Saccharomyces cerevisiae S288C: one gene and its partners. The gene in region 1 interacts genetically with each later gene. Each region holds a gene or a part of one and is shown on either strand. Other genes may lie near its edges. The genes, in order: MPC1, MAE1, CDC19 and COX23.

Evidence for each region.
Region 2: mutations in MPC1 (region 1) and MAE1 together harm fitness more than expected from each alone (negative genetic interaction), as found in Saccharomyces cerevisiae (4 studies listed by BioGRID, with this or other methods).
Region 3: mutations in MPC1 (region 1) and CDC19 together harm fitness more than expected from each alone (negative genetic interaction), as found in Saccharomyces cerevisiae (2 studies listed by BioGRID).
Region 4: mutations in MPC1 (region 1) and COX23 together harm fitness more than expected from each alone (negative genetic interaction), as found in Saccharomyces cerevisiae (2 studies listed by BioGRID).

The regions. Positions count from the first base shown.
Region 1 is NC_001139.9:356,529-360,041, forward strand, and holds MPC1 (pyruvate transporter MPC1), read left to right. Parts: upstream 1-2,107; coding exon 2,108-2,500; downstream 2,501-3,513. Other genes in the region: MIY3 (Miy3p), read left to right, coding at 1-444; YGL081W (uncharacterized protein), read left to right, coding at 849-1,811; KXD1 (Kxd1p), read left to right, coding at 2,916-3,513. UniProt on the Saccharomyces cerevisiae protein: Mediates the uptake of pyruvate into mitochondria.
Region 2 is NC_001143.9:381,736-386,666, reverse strand, and holds MAE1 (malate dehydrogenase (oxaloacetate-decarboxylating)), read left to right. Parts: upstream 1-1,941; coding exon 1,942-3,951; downstream 3,952-4,931. Other genes in the region: transcription factor TFIIE subunit TFA1, read right to left, coding at 1-909; DNA-binding transcription repressor IXR1, read left to right, coding at 4,809-4,931. UniProt on the Saccharomyces cerevisiae protein: NAD-dependent mitochondrial malic enzyme that catalyzes the oxidative decarboxylation of malate to pyruvate.
Region 3 is NC_001133.9:69,873-74,276, reverse strand, and holds CDC19 (pyruvate kinase CDC19), read right to left. Parts: upstream 2,492-4,404; coding exon 989-2,491; downstream 1-988. Other genes in the region: YAL037W (uncharacterized protein), read right to left, coding at 1-257; YAL037C-A (uncharacterized protein), read left to right, coding at 759-851.
Region 4 is NC_001140.6:339,786-343,240, forward strand, and holds COX23 (Cox23p), read left to right. Parts: upstream 1-1,879; coding exon 1,880-2,335; downstream 2,336-3,455. Other genes in the region: BZZ1 (Bzz1p), read left to right, coding at 1-199; ubiquitin-conjugating protein DMA1, read right to left, coding at 324-1,574; protein channel TOM71, read left to right, coding at 2,564-3,455. UniProt on the Saccharomyces cerevisiae protein: Required for the assembly of cytochrome c oxidase.

The DNA of each region.
Region 1 (3,513 bases):
ACTTACAGAAATCGCAAGGACATAAACTGGCAGTCGCTTAAATCCGTGAATGGATCGCAGGATTCTTACTACACGGGCAACTTCATTCCCACAAGTCTGGAAAGAACAGAAACTACTGCTACCGGGCAAAATGAGTCCTACATTTCTAACCCATTCAGTGACCAGAATACAGGGCATGTAACTAGCAACCAAGTTAATAGTGGAGCAAGCGGTGTTCAACAAATCGAAGATGATGAGGAACTAGCTAGGAGGTTACAGGAACAAGAAGATATGCGTGCGGCAAATAACATGCAAAATGGTTATGCTAATAACGGTAGAAATCATCAAAGGGAAAGGTTTGAAAGACCTGAAAAAAATTCAAAGAAAAACAAGTTCCTTCCCTTTAATGGGAGTAATAAAGAAAAGAAAAGAGACAAGTTGAAAAAAAACTGTGTAATTATGTGAAACCATGATTTCTTTTTCGTCTTTTGTATCTTTCTTATAGAATTATTTTTTTTGTGGGTGTCACCACGCTAGCGCTTATTTTTAACTCTACCACTTTTTAATTTTGTAAATGTATATTTTACTCCTTCATGGCGTTCAACTGGCCTATTTGTGATATATAACCTGATAATACCAATGATTTATTTTTTTTTACAGATTCCTTCTCCTAAATTTGTCCAAACAAAACGGCTCAAGAAGCCCCGAATAATGCACTACAGCGGAAATTAACATTTTTGGGATATCTTCACAGAATACTAAAGCAATCAAAGTGGCTCATAGTATTGAGTTTTACAAATTACTTGAAAAAAAAATAATCACTAGGCAGTTGCATAAAGTTGAAACTGAGGGAAGGAACTGGGGAAATCATGGGTGATATAAGAACTTTTGTTTTCGCTATAGAAGATACGGAAACAACACAAGGTTTGTGTAAAACCATTGGCCGTTCGAGTTCATTTGATCAAAATAGTCTATGTAAGCCGTACAATCTATATTTTGATGAGCCAGAACTAAGCAGACAGCATGCTGTCCTATGTATAAAGACACCAATACCCAAAATTGAAGGAGTTCCCTCTATAGAACAACTCCGCATCTGCATTCGGGATTTGAATAACAAGACTGGTACAGTAAACTTAGTGTCTGATGGGCCAAATGATGAAATTGATTTGAAAAATGGTGATGCTTTTGGTTTGATTGCAATTGATAATCATCCTTTTCGCGACAACCATCATTTAGCCGCCAAGTTAATTTTCCGAATTGAACTTGAGTATTTCGATGAAGCAAGGGAAATCGTAAAGTGCACTATTACAAATGTAACATTTGGAAAGAATAATACAGTGTCATCTTTCCCTATTCATTCTGCAACATCCACAGAAGATAGCGATTCAAGTTGGTACGGATTGTCGGAAGCGAGTACGCAAACGGAAGTTGCAGATGAGTGTCATGAAACGAACACCATATTGACTCGAGGTGGTAGGTTTTCTATCCTTTCGTTGAGAAAAAGAGGCAGCAAGCAAGACCAGAAGATCTGCAGTAACTTTGATAGAAAAATACATGAAACGAGTTCTTTCGAAGAAGAAATCGAAGTTTGCACTGACACAGACACCACAGAAGAAAAAGAAGAAGAAGAAGAAAAAGAAGAAGGGGATGATGAGGAAGGAGAAATAGAACTTGAAATTATTAGAGTAAAAAGAATAAAGGGCAGGACGAAGATAAAGAAGACGCTTACTTGCTTCTCGAAAAACAAGAAAATTATTACCCCTCAGCACTCCAATAGTATGTGGTTACTACTAATAGTAATCTTGATTTTTGACCGCCTACTATCGAATTAAATATAATTTTATAACCCAGTTCTATATTGCTGGGTGGTATTATAGCTTCATGGCTAGTCAAATAAGTGGAGTTTTTTGCTCTGGACGTGGCCTGTAAAGTTCTCTTTTGCGACGGCCCCCCGCTTTAACCGAGGCGAAATGACAAGTGCTTTCTGGCAAAGAAGGAATAGCCACTACAACCTGCGGTCTCCACCTTTCTCCACCGATAATCTATTTAAACACTCACTTGCCAATCAGCAAACGTCAATACATCTACATATATACGTATAGATTTTATTGCACTGTGATCAAAAAGAATGTCTCAACCGGTTCAACGCGCTGCAGCACGCTCATTCCTTCAAAAATACATCAATAAAGAAACTTTGAAATATATTTTCACAACACACTTCTGGGGTCCCGTATCAAATTTCGGTATCCCAATTGCTGCTATATATGATCTGAAAAAAGACCCTACACTAATCTCTGGCCCAATGACTTTTGCTTTAGTTACCTATTCAGGTGTTTTCATGAAGTATGCTCTTTCAGTATCACCCAAAAACTACTTACTGTTTGGATGCCACCTTATTAATGAAACTGCGCAATTAGCTCAAGGCTATAGGTTTCTCAAATACACGTATTTCACAACAGATGAGGAGAAGAAAGCTCTAGATAAGGAATGGAAAGAGAAAGAAAAAACTGGTAAACAGTAAAACGAGCAGTCTAAGAACCTGAAGTAGGTGACTAGATGGAAACATAAAAAAGAACAAGCAAGGATTAAGAGGATGGATATGTTCATGCATATTCTCTCATTTTTACCTCTTCTCCTTTTCATATATGCATGCTATAGAACCATTATCTCTATGAGTTTCATTTTATTTAGTAGTTAGTATTGAACCAAACTACATAAGATGACATATTCTAAATAACCTAAATAATTATTATGTCTTTATTCAAATATTTCTTTTATATCCAAGACAATTTCCCTCTCATCTCCTTTGTATTACTGATTATATTCAGCCATTCAAAAAGTTAAAAAAGAACGTTTTTCACTGAAAAGTCGCAGCTATATTATAGTAAAATAATAAGAGAGGCAAAATAATGGTTACCAACACTTAGTGAAGAACAATGGTGACCGGAATATCGGAGGAAAATGATGATGAAGAGACTTTTTCGGCTGTTCATTCTTCAACACCCAGTATTAATTCTCAATCCTACGCGATTCCTATAACAGAGGAAATGTCCAGCTCTTTCCATGATTCGATCAGCACCACTAGCAACTCAAGTGGTAGCTTCGATAGTGATGGAAGTAACGTTTCAGATGTTGTGGAGCAAAATGAAATGGACAATGAATCTAACGTTGACGAAGATTTGTTCCTAGATAACGATATCCCTCAGTCAAGCAATTTGCTACCCACGGATGCCCAGGATCCTGGTCCAATATTTGACGTTTCTAGATATATTTTTGATTCTCTAAAACAATCTATTGATTCTGCTGATTTCTCAGAGGCACTTTCTCTACAGACCAAAACCTCCGCTGTTATAAATTCGAAAAGCCTAGAGCTTAAACAATATATTGATGAAATGAAGAGCAGGCTCACTCAACTGCAAGAGAAGTTTGAAAATGGTGAGGCTACTTCAAAAAAAATAAAACGTGATTTAGAAACTTCAAGAAAGAACATCGACTATTTAAACGCTGCTTTGCGTGTCGATTTCCCCATAGAGT
Region 2 (4,931 bases), on another chromosome or scaffold:
AGCAGTTTTACCGATGGTACTCTGTTTATGCCATTCAGGGACAGCGTTTTGTTTTCTTTTCTCTTCAGCCTGTCTCTCTTGCAATTCCCTTTGAGCCACTTCATCACTTGCCGTGGTAATGTTGATGTGTAATGTGGCTTGAGAGTTAGCACCGGCACGTCTACTACTGTCGTTACCAAGAGCAGTACCCATAAGATTTGGCAATGGAGCAGAATCTCCCGGTCTGAACATGGTGCTGCCTTTCTTTGGATTGTACGTGTATGCTGCATGTGATTGATTTTGAGGTGGTATCAAGCGAGCCAATGCAATTTCGAAAGTATTCTCCTCAATTCTTGAATCATCAATCTTTTTCAAAGAATCAATGATTGGCTGAATTTGGTCCATTAACCTATTTAATTTATCTTGCTTCTCTTTGTTTTTTTTACCAGAATCATCTTCCACCAACGGTTCATCACATAGGGAACATAAAAATTCTGTCCTATCAAAATTCAATAATTGTACAGCTTCCAATTGTGTGTACTTGGTCAAACAAATCGGACACATGTAACCATTAGGTTCTGAATTTTTGTCCAAGTCATCCTTCAATCTTTGTACGACTTGATGGACCTTCCATTTGATTGCGTCAATAGCATGAGGATATTTTACATAGTAGTAAACTCTTTCCACACTTTTTGAGTTTGGAGGGTATTCTCTTTGTTTGTGTATGGATATTAACCTGTCTGATCTTAGTCTAGCAATTAGCGGCCCCAGTTCCGTCTTATTTATGCTCAACAATTGTTTCAAGTCATCTTCAGCTAGGACCGAGTGAAATAGTATAGCATCGAGTACCAGTACAAAGGAGCCACCATAAAACCCCCTAACGACGAACTTTAAAAGATTTTTCACAATATCATCTATAGGTCTATCCATACTCTACTCACTGCAGCAGCTGCTTCCAGTAGTTTTCTATCTTTGGCTCGATTAGGACGAGCAATCATGCTGCCAAGTTTACACTTAATTAGCTTTTTTCCTAATCTTGCAAGAACCGCTTAGATAATCACTACACACGGTAACGCTTAGTAAAAAACCAAAAAAAAAAACCAAGTATTATTACGTATTAACTCACCAGACTACAATAGTAACCTGAAATTCGCCCATGGTACAATTTACACTTCCAAATTTTTTTGTTTTTTTATCATTTGGACATCCTTTGCCCTTCACCCAGTGTCAATCATTACAACAATTATAGCGATTCATCACAGTGCAAGGATCACTCTTAACGAAGGAAGAAAAGTTAGAAAAATTTCTCATATGTTTCGCGTTTATTTTCGATACCAATTCGTTTCGATGTGTGCAAATTGAATATTGCATCGTGCATTGCAAGGTTTTTCAAATTCTTGCGTCTTGTCAACCGTTCAAGGCGATTGAAAGATATTCACTGCATATCTTCTTATACGAAAAGCATCGAAGAAAAAACACCCATACAACCAAGTATAGACGGAACAATTCGGGTTTTTACTCTTCCCTAGGCGGTTTAAATCGGATATATGAAAAGAAATCAAAAAAAAAAAAAAAAAAAAAAAAGAATTGGCGCATTTGAAGTTTTATTATCGTACGCGTTATTGTTTGCGCTAACATCGCATCGCATCAGCTGACTGAGTGACTGAGTCCCCTTGGCTTCGACTCATCATCGCCTTTCTATGGTGAAAAATTTTCGCAATTTCCTATTACTGTACCGCGTATGCTCCATTTGACTTCCTTTGGTCTACAGCTTTAGCGCTATAGAGTTTCGAAGTCGTACCCGTTACCGGCATGATTGACATATTATATATATATATATATGCGTATCTTTATACTTACTCGTATATTGTGTCCAGCTTCGGATATTTGTGCTTTTGAAACCTACAACTTTTAACGAGTTTAGTGCACATAAATACCAAGACAAAAGGTAGAAATACGGTTATGCTTAGAACCAGACTATCCGTTTCCGTTGCTGCTAGATCGCAACTAACCAGATCCTTGACAGCATCAAGGACAGCACCATTAAGAAGATGGCCTATTCAGCAATCGCGTTTATATTCTTCTAACACTAGATCGCATAAAGCTACCACAACAAGAGAAAATACTTTCCAAAAGCCATACAGCGACGAGGAGGTCACTAAAACACCCGTCGGTTCTCGCGCCAGAAAGATCTTCGAAGCTCCTCACCCACATGCCACTCGTTTGACTGTAGAAGGTGCCATAGAATGTCCCTTGGAGAGCTTTCAACTTTTAAACTCTCCTTTATTTAACAAGGGTTCTGCATTTACACAAGAAGAAAGGGAAGCGTTTAATTTAGAAGCATTGCTACCACCACAAGTGAACACTTTGGACGAACAACTGGAAAGAAGCTACAAGCAGTTATGCTATTTGAAGACGCCCTTGGCCAAAAACGACTTCATGACGTCTTTGAGAGTACAGAACAAAGTCCTATATTTTGCATTAATAAGGAGACATATCAAGGAATTAGTTCCTATCATTTACACCCCAACCGAAGGTGATGCTATTGCTGCCTATTCCCACAGGTTCAGAAAGCCAGAAGGTGTGTTTTTAGACATTACCGAACCTGATTCCATCGAATGTAGATTGGCTACATACGGTGGAGACAAAGATGTAGACTACATCGTTGTGTCGGATTCGGAAGGTATTCTGGGAATTGGTGACCAAGGTATCGGTGGTGTACGTATTGCTATCTCCAAATTGGCATTGATGACGCTGTGCGGTGGTATTCATCCCGGCCGTGTGCTACCTGTGTGTTTGGACGTCGGTACTAACAACAAGAAACTAGCCCGTGACGAATTGTACATGGGTAACAAGTTCTCCAGAATCAGGGGTAAGCAATATGACGACTTCTTGGAAAAATTCATCAAGGCCGTTAAGAAAGTGTATCCAAGCGCCGTTCTGCATTTCGAAGATTTCGGTGTTAAGAACGCTAGAAGATTACTAGAAAAGTACAGGTACGAATTGCCATCATTCAACGATGACATTCAGGGCACCGGTGCCGTCGTGATGGCCTCGTTGATTGCTGCTTTGAAACATACCAACAGAGACTTGAAAGACACCAGAGTGCTTATTTACGGTGCCGGGTCTGCGGGCCTCGGTATCGCAGATCAAATTGTGAATCATATGGTCACGCACGGCGTTGACAAGGAAGAAGCGCGCAAGAAAATCTTCTTGATGGACAGACGTGGGTTAATTCTACAATCTTACGAGGCTAACTCCACTCCCGCCCAACACGTATACGCTAAGAGTGATGCGGAATGGGCTGGTATCAACACCCGCTCTTTACATGATGTGGTGGAGAACGTCAAACCAACGTGTTTGGTTGGCTGCTCCACACAAGCAGGCGCATTCACTCAAGATGTCGTAGAAGAAATGCACAAGCACAATCCTAGACCGATCATTTTCCCATTATCCAACCCTACTAGACTACACGAAGCCGTTCCTGCCGATTTAATGAAGTGGACCAACAACAACGCTCTTGTAGCTACCGGATCTCCTTTCCCACCTGTTGATGGTTACCGTATCTCGGAGAACAACAATTGTTACTCTTTCCCAGGTATCGGTTTAGGTGCCGTACTATCGCGTGCCACCACCATCACAGACAAGATGATCTCCGCTGCAGTGGACCAACTAGCCGAATTGTCGCCACTAAGAGAGGGCGACTCGAGACCTGGGTTGCTACCCGGCCTGGACACCATCACCAACACTTCTGCGCGTCTAGCTACCGCTGTGATCTTGCAAGCACTCGAGGAGGGAACCGCCCGTATCGAGCAAGAACAAGTACCGGGAGGAGCTCCCGGCGAAACTGTCAAGGTTCCTCGTGACTTTGACGAATGTTTACAGTGGGTCAAAGCCCAAATGTGGGAGCCTGTGTACAGACCTATGATCAAGGTCCAACATGACCCATCGGTGCACACCAACCAATTGTAGACGAAGCATAACCAACGCCTGCACTTAAAAAAAAAAAACCATATAGAGTAATATATAAATATATATATTTGTACAATTTTTTTCTTTATTTTTAAAAAAAAAATAATACTTGACATACCGTAATAATAATAATAATAATAATAATAATAATAATATAATAATAATACAATAATACAATAATAAAAACAATAACAACAGCAACAATAGCACAAGAACATTAACCCAAGCAACTAGCAATAACAAGAACGGTAATTATCAAAACAAAATATGATACCAAATGCGGAAAAAATCGGCACATATCCATAAAACATACACATCGTGCTTAGCGATCTACATACCGTGGAGGAATGGGTGGAACGGTTACTGACGACGGCCGCGCGGGGTTTTGTGTTGGGTGTGATGTCCGGATGCAACAGCAGCAAAGGAGAGGCGCAGCGGACCTTCCTTACTTTCTTTTTCTTCTTTTCTTTTCCACCTCCCCTTGGTGAGAGAACGAATGGGAACAAAAAAAAAATGCACACATCAGCTGGTGGAGCCAAGTATAGACACGGCCCGGCGCATTCGTTCTCTCTCTCCTTCTGTCTCTCGTTCTCGCTGTAAATGTGGTTTACTTCGTTATCCTCTGTACCGTAATCGTACTGCATTGTATTCTGTTTCCTCTACTGCTAGGTCACTGCCTAACAGCTACTGCTACCGAGACTGTGACGCTGAAGTTTATTCGCTCTGATATCCCACAAAGAACTCTATTACACACAGACAAGGCAAGGCAACGCAAGTCAAGGCAAGACCACAACTATATCCCCTTCTTCTATCCATTCTGTGATATACGTACGACGCTAACAGTACCCACAACTGCAATGAACACCGGTATCTCGCCCAAACAGGACGACGCCTCTAACTCCAACTTACTCAACATAGGCCAAGACCATTCGCTGCAGTATCAGGGTCTCGAACACAACGACTCCCAGTACAGAGATGCT
Region 3 (4,404 bases), on another chromosome or scaffold:
GCCTTCTTTGTTGCTACTGCTGCTGTAGTTGGTGAGCAAAGATTCACGACTACCGAATTAGAGTTCCTGAAATACTGGGTATAAAACGACGCTATCTTTTCAGTACTTAGATTGACACCAATGATGAACTTAATATTTTCATATTGCAAAAGAATAGGTTGTGTCAATATCTCACAGGGTCCAAAATAAACATTGGTATCCAGTTTTTGTAACTTCAGGTCATCTATGGGGCTTGAATCTTCGATTTCCATATCCATAGCAGTGTTATTTCCTTTGCTTTTTGCGTAATTATTGGCACTATGTCACTGATTATATAAGCCACTTCAGTTTTCTTCCCATCTAATTAATTTTTCTTCGAAACACATTCTGTAAATAAGGGATTATGTTATGAAAAGAATACGTACTAGATGGCTAGAAGAATAGGACGGAGTAGCACTTATCGTTTCTGATAAGAGGATCAATCCTTTGAAATCTTGAAACGCGAATAAATTTAGGACACTAATTGAATCTGCCCGCGTCATTTTTTATAAAAAATAGATTAAACCACCAAACGAAGGCCAGAAGCTGAACATAGTTCACTGGCATCTGCATTTATGTACCCATGTATAACCTTCCAAGTTAGTTCTTGGGAAACGAAAATTATATTGAATTTTTTATTGAATTTTTAGCGTATCCTTTCGCCATCCTGATAATCATGATAACCTTGAGGGAAGATTATCTTGCGATGGGAGGGATCAAATTTAGCAAATTTTGACTCTATGTCAATCTCGTTTCCAAAAATGCAACACCTCATCGTTATGACGACAATTGGAGACAAAAAGGTTAACAATAACATAATACTCTTTTTATAGAATACCTTATAAAATGTATGTTATTTAAGTAACTTATAAATCTTTATTTGAGTTGAAAAGAAAAACCATGTCTTTATATAAAATTTAAAAAATATAATTCAAAAAAATAATATCTTCATTCAATCATGATTCTTTTTTTAAACGGTAGAGACTTGCAAAGTGTTGGAGTGACCAGCACCGGCCTTGAAACCTTGGATGGAAACGTAAGTGTCACCCTTCTTCAAGATACCGAATTCCTTAGCCTTTTCAATACCGAAGTTGATACGGGCTTCAACATCATCAGTCCAGTCAGAGACAGGTTCCTTTTCGAAAACGAATGGGAAGACACCTCTGTACAAGTGAGAGAATCTAGCAGCTCTTGGGCATCTGGTAACCAAGATGATTGGACAGTTTGGTCTGTACTTGGAAACCAATCTTGGGGTGGTACCGGAAGTGGACAAGACAATGATAGCCTTGGCCTTTTGTTCGAAAACAGCAGCGACAGCGGAGGCAGCGACGGTTTCGGTGGTGGAGGTTGGCTTTGGAGTACAGTTTCTCATGTCATCGTAGTTTGGCAAGTAAGCGATAGCTTGTTCAGCAATGACAGCGGTTTCAGCCATAGTGGTAACGGCGTTGATTGGGTAGTTACCCTTGGCGGTTTCACCAGACAACATAACACAGTCAGCACCATCCAAGATAGCGTTACCGACATCGGAAACTTCAGCTCTGGTTGGTCTTGGGTTGTAAGTCATGGATTCCAACATTTGGGTAGCACAGATAACTGGCTTACCAGCCAAGTTAGACTTAGCAATCAATTTCTTTTGGACAGCCAAGACTTCTGGGGCTGGGATTTCAATACCCAAGTCACCTCTGGCAACCATAACACCGTCAGTGACCTTCAAGATTTCGTCGAAGTTGTTAACACCTTGTTGGTTTTCAATCTTGACAATGATCTTGACGTCCTTACCTTGTTCACCCAAGACTTCTCTGATGGTCAAAACATCGTTGGCGGTTCTGATGAAAGAAGCGAAGACCATGTGGACACCGTTCTTGACACCGAATCTCAAATCTTCCTTGTCCTTTTCAGACAAAGCTGGCAAATCGACATCGGTACCTGGTAAGTTGACACCCTTGTGGGAACAGATCTTACCGGCGTTCAAAGCCTTGACCTTCAAAGTCTTGTCGTCAACGACTTCCAAAACTTGGAAAGACAAAACACCATCATCAACGTAGATGATTCTACCAGCGGAGATGACCTTGGTGATGTTCTTGTAGTCAACGTACATGATCTTGTCGTCACAAGCCTTAGCGTACTTGTCATCGGTGGTGAAGATCATTTCGTGGTTTGGTGGGATTGGGTAGTCAACATCGTTGGTGGTGGTACCAGTTCTGATTTCTGGACCCTTGGTGTCCAAAGCAATGGCCAATGGTCTACCTGGGTACAATTCTTCGGACTTTCTGGCGTTGTCAATGACAGACTTGTGGTATTCGTAAGAACCGTGAGAGAAGTTCATACGGACAATGTTCAAACCAGCCTTTCTCAAAGCAACCAAGGTTTCTGGGTTGTTGGTCTTTGGACCGATGGTACCAATGATGGAGGTTCTTCTCAAGTCAGAACCAGCAACAACGTTTAATGAGGTCAATCTTTCTAATCTAGACATTGTGATGATGTTTTATTTGTTTTGATTGGTGTCTTGTAAATAGAAACAAGAGAGAATAATAAACAAGTTAAGAATAAAAAACCAAAGGATGAAAAAGAATGAATATGAAAAAGAGTAGAGAATAACTTTGAAAGGGGACCATGATATAACTGGAAAAAAGAGGTTCTTGGAAATGAAAAGTTACCAAAGAGTATTTATAATTCAGAAAAAAAAGCCAACGAATATCGTTTTGATGGCGAGCCTTTTTTTTTTTTTAGGAAGACACTAAAGGTACCTAGCATCATATGGGAAGGAAAGGAAATCACTTGGAAGACATCACAAGCATTCATTTACCAAGAGAAAAAATATGCATTTTAGCTAAGATCCATTGAACAAAGCACTCACTCAACTCAACTGAATGAACGAAAGAAGAAAGAACAGTAGAAAACACTTTGTGACGGTGCGGAACACATTTACGTAGCTATCATGCTGAATTCTACTATGAAAATCTCCCAATCTGTCGATGGCAAAACGACCCACGTGGCAGAGTTGGGTCAAGTGCCAGTTTCTGGATTAAGTAACAGATACAGACATCACACGCCATAGAGGAATCCCGCCGTTGCGAGAGATGGAAAACAATAGAGCCGAAATTGTGGAAGCCCGATGTCTGGGTGTACATTTTTTTTTTTTCTTTCTTTCTCTTTCAATAATCTTTCCTTTTTCCATTTAGCTTGCCGGAAAAACTTTCGGGTAGCGAAAATCTTTCTGCCGGAAAAATTAGCTATTTTTTTCTTCCTTATTATTTTTTTAGTTCTGAAGTTTGACCAGGGCGCTACCCTGACCGTATCACAACCGACGATCCGGGGTCATGGCGGCTATTTTTTTTTTTTTTTTTTTTTTCCTTGTGATTGTTTATTTACATTTGGATCAATTCTAACAAAAAAAAAATAAGGGGGGAAAAATAATTCACCTCTTTTTAATATTGTTTTGTACTGAGATTAATCTCCAAAATACTAGCATTGACACACATCTCAAGTCATCTCAAATAAAGTCGGAAAACCCCCCCTTTCCAAATAATTGAGGTGACGTTGCCATGAACAGGGAAGCAGAATTTGATTCGAAGACTAAGACCAAGCATACCCATTCTCATTTGGTCCTTTCTTTATTTTTACTTCAACTCCCTTAACGTTCGGAGAAAAACTCTGGTTATTCTTCATGCGATATAATTGGCGAAAAAAATCTTGTCTCATACGTAAAAAGTATTAAAAAAATTGCCCATTTTGTGCCCGCAGACAACTGCAACCTATCTTCAAAAGCCGAAAAGGAGGTTTTCTTCTTATTCGCTGGACAGACCCTCTTTTTTGCTGTTGCTTTATTTTTTATGTTTAGAAACAAAATTTCCCCGAGAGAAAGGGAAAATATGTGGAAAAAGAAAAAGCACTTCCTTACCAAACGTCATTCCATCCATGAAATACTTGGCCGATTGAACTTTTCATTTGGTCCAAATATGGAAGTGATAAACGATCTTACTCCAACGTAGATAAAACATTGATAGTAGCCCTAACTGATATTATGGCAAGTCGGCCACACCGCTCATTAGGACAATTCCTTTTTTTCCTTTTTTTTTCTTCTCACTTTTCGGCTATCGGAGCCTTTGATTTAATCGCCGGTGCCTACGTCTTTGGTGTGTATCATATCGGTCTTGAGTCCCATACTACATGCTCTGCTAATAATAGTCATGCAAGTAATAAAGGTAATTTATGGTGAGGGAGGCTTAGGAATATCTAATACTAAGTGCCTAAAACATCAGCAGCAATACAACAATACAACAATGCAACAGGTTCAAAGGAAATAATCAGCAACGCTTTCAAGGGAGCAAGTTGTGGTTTACAACACCTACAATTCTTTCAAGACGTTTGCAACACTGCGACAAA
Region 4 (3,455 bases), on another chromosome or scaffold:
AGTACCACCACCAAGAAGGAGTACACTACCTGTTAGGACGATGGAGGCCATATATGCCTACGAAGCACAGGGAGATGATGAGATTTCAATTGATCCGGGGGACATAATTACTGTTATCAGAGGCGATGACGGTAGCGGGTGGACATATGGTGAATGTGACGGATTGAAAGGTCTATTTCCTACAAGTTACTGTAAATGAACGAAGGAATGAACTGAAACTATTAAATATTTTCCCTGGCCGCCACTTTTTTGAGAGGTATGACGACTCTATGTTATATATATATATATATATATATATATATATAGCACAAAATTTCATGTGATCAATCTACTAGGCGAACACCTAAATTGTTATTTATTTCCATGTCTATATCCATTTCAATGTCTGGCTCATCTTCGTCCTCGTTTTCGAATTCGGATTCAGATTCGGATTCCAAGGTAGTCTCCAAATCACAGTTTGTCCTACAGTTCGGACACATGAATTGAGGATAATTCATAATAACCAATCTTCTTACACAATGAAAATGCCAACTATGGGCACATGGTGATATAAAAATGGCTTGGCAAGGTTTTATTTTGTTTAGACAAATGGAACAGTCTTCTTGTTCTAAACCAGTAGTTAGTTTCTGTAGATTTTTTATTCGGCTCAAGGCTTCTTTATTAAATGCATTGGCCTTTAATTTCCAAGACTTGTTCAATTCTATTTTCATCTTAACACAACGATATATCTCTTCCGTCCCGCCGCGAAAGTCCATACCCAGCTGTATGATATCTCCGTCATGTAAAAGGTAGTCCTTAGAAGTGGTAGACGCAGAAGATAGACGCTGGTGGTTCAAAAAGGTCCCACTGGAAGACTTGACATCTTTCAAAAACCAGTTTCCTTGGTCATCAACTTTGAAACACCCATGGGTCCTGGATATCACTTTTGATTTGAACACTACGGGATGATACTGATCTGGAATTTTGGAAATTGCCTCTCTTACTCTTTCGGTGTATCTTCCGATGATAATTTGCGAGCCTGCGCCCGCAGTCCTGATAATGGGGTCAAAGAAAAGACCCTGGTTAGCCACAGACGTGGATGAAGTATCTATAAACGGGGTTAGCCTAATGCTGAAAAGCCCGTGCTTGTCCATTCTGCGTTTCAAAGTAGATTGGTCTATCCGTTCCGGTAGCGAGGTATTTGGTGGGAGATGTATATCAAGTGAAAACTCCGTCTGATTGACTTGGTTTGGAGGATATATGAAATGGCGGATACTCTTTGTAGTGTTCACCGCGGGGGCTGTATTCGTCTCCACAGTGGCAGCAGCAGCAGCAGTAGCACCAACATTGCCGTTTGCGCTACCGTTATTTGCAACGACTAAAGAAGTAGCCGTACGCGAGGGCAAAATACCTAAACCATTGCTAACGCTATTATTATTGCTGTTATTGTTAGGCGTATCGTTAATGGTGAGAGAGATGGATATCGGTAGTCTGATGGGATTGTTGAACTTGGTGTGATCGTGAGAGGTAGCGATGCCAGAAGCAGCAGGTGGCGTCTGGTTTGGGGGAGATGAGGGAACAGTATTAGTAGACATCCAGGAATAACCACTATACAGAACGTATGTGCACAGGAAATCGACACTGTAAGAAGAAAAGCTCACGGCACAAGAGTCAGAAACAGGGCAGTGAACAAAGAACGAGAAGTACGGTTTACAGTTGAGCCGTACACCGAGTTCCTCTTTGAATAATATCGAACCTATACACTAATGCACTAATGTGTTTCTGTTCACACCCAGAATTCTAAGGCTCCTGCTGATCCCAATGCTAAGGTTTATCAATTTTCTCATTCTCTTTGTGGGCCGTAAACAGTGATATTCTCTCACGAGAGCGCTTAAAGAGAATGGAGAAGCCCAGCCCCACCAGGCGGCAAACTAGTAGTCTCTCCACTATCTCCAACGGTATGACCATGACCAACGATAATAGGGATACCACAAATACCAACAGTGGCTCTACAAGCAGCAACAATTCACAACCATCTTCGTCTTCCACGCCACCAGCGGCCAGTGGACCCGTAACGGACAGAACCAAAGTCAACTATGTACCAAAGAGCGACGATCCGTCGTCATTTCAATACTACCCAGACGACCCGGAGAACCCGGTCAATAAGTATAAATTCGCGTTAAAGGCTGACAGTCAGTACTATGATCCTTGTGAGGAGTCCTCCAAGCTCAGTTTTCAGTGCCTCGAGCGCAACGATTACGACCGATCCAAGTGCCAAGAATATTTTGACGCATACCGCGAATGCAAGAAACAATGGCTGACAGCCAGGAGGAAAAACAGACAGCAGTGGGAATGAGGCAGCCTTTTCTTCTTGTTTGTTCAGCTGTGATCTGTTTTCTATATAGATCGCCACTACGCGACGTAGTGTTCCGACAGGCAGCCACAGCACACTCTAGTGCAATGTGAAAAACTAATTCGCAATGGTATGTAAATAAGCAAGCTAAATTGGATTTTCAAAGTGCGAATAAAGAATTTTTTGTATATATCTCTACATACTTGTATATACCGAACATAAGAAGCTCTTATGGCCGAAAACTCCCTCCTGAGGTTTATCACCAAGAACAAAGTGGCCATCCTAGCAACGGTCTCTGCGGGGACTGCTGCTGTGGGTGCTTATGTTTACTACCAGCAAATTAAGCAGCAGCAACAGCAGCAATTGAAGGGTACAAAAGACAACCGACGTCAAAGTGAGGCCTTTGCTGGTCAAAATGAAGACGAGGCGGACTTAAAGGACGACGGCAGCGTCGTAAGTGGAAGTAATAAGAGGAAGAAGAAGAAGAATAAACGCAAGAGGAACAATAAGGCAAAATCGGGAGAAGGGTTTGACTATCCCTCCTTGCCCAATGGCGAGCCTGATATTGCCCAATTGAAAGGCCTATCACCCTCCCAGAGACAAGCGTATGCCGTGCAACTGAAGAACAGAGGTAACCACTTCTTCACTGCTAAGAATTTTAATGAGGCCATCAAATACTACCAGTATGCCATTGAGCTGGACCCGAATGAACCAGTGTTCTATTCCAACATATCTGCTTGTTACATTTCTACGGGCGACTTAGAGAAGGTTATAGAGTTCACTACAAAGGCACTTGAGATAAAACCTGACCATTCTAAAGCCTTGCTGAGACGTGCATCTGCCAACGAGTCACTGGGCAACTTCACTGATGCTATGTTTGATCTATCTGTTTTGTCATTGAATGGTGACTTTGATGGAGCCTCCATTGAACCTATGCTGGAAAGAAATTTAAATAAGCAAGCAATGAAAGTACTAAATGAAAACCTATCGAAGGATGAAGGCAGAGGCTCGCAGGTTTTGCCGTCTAACACATCTCTGGCGTCATTTTTTGGGATTTTTGACTCTCACTTAGAAGTTTCTAGTGTGAACACCAGTTCAAACTACGATACTGCATACGCTCTAT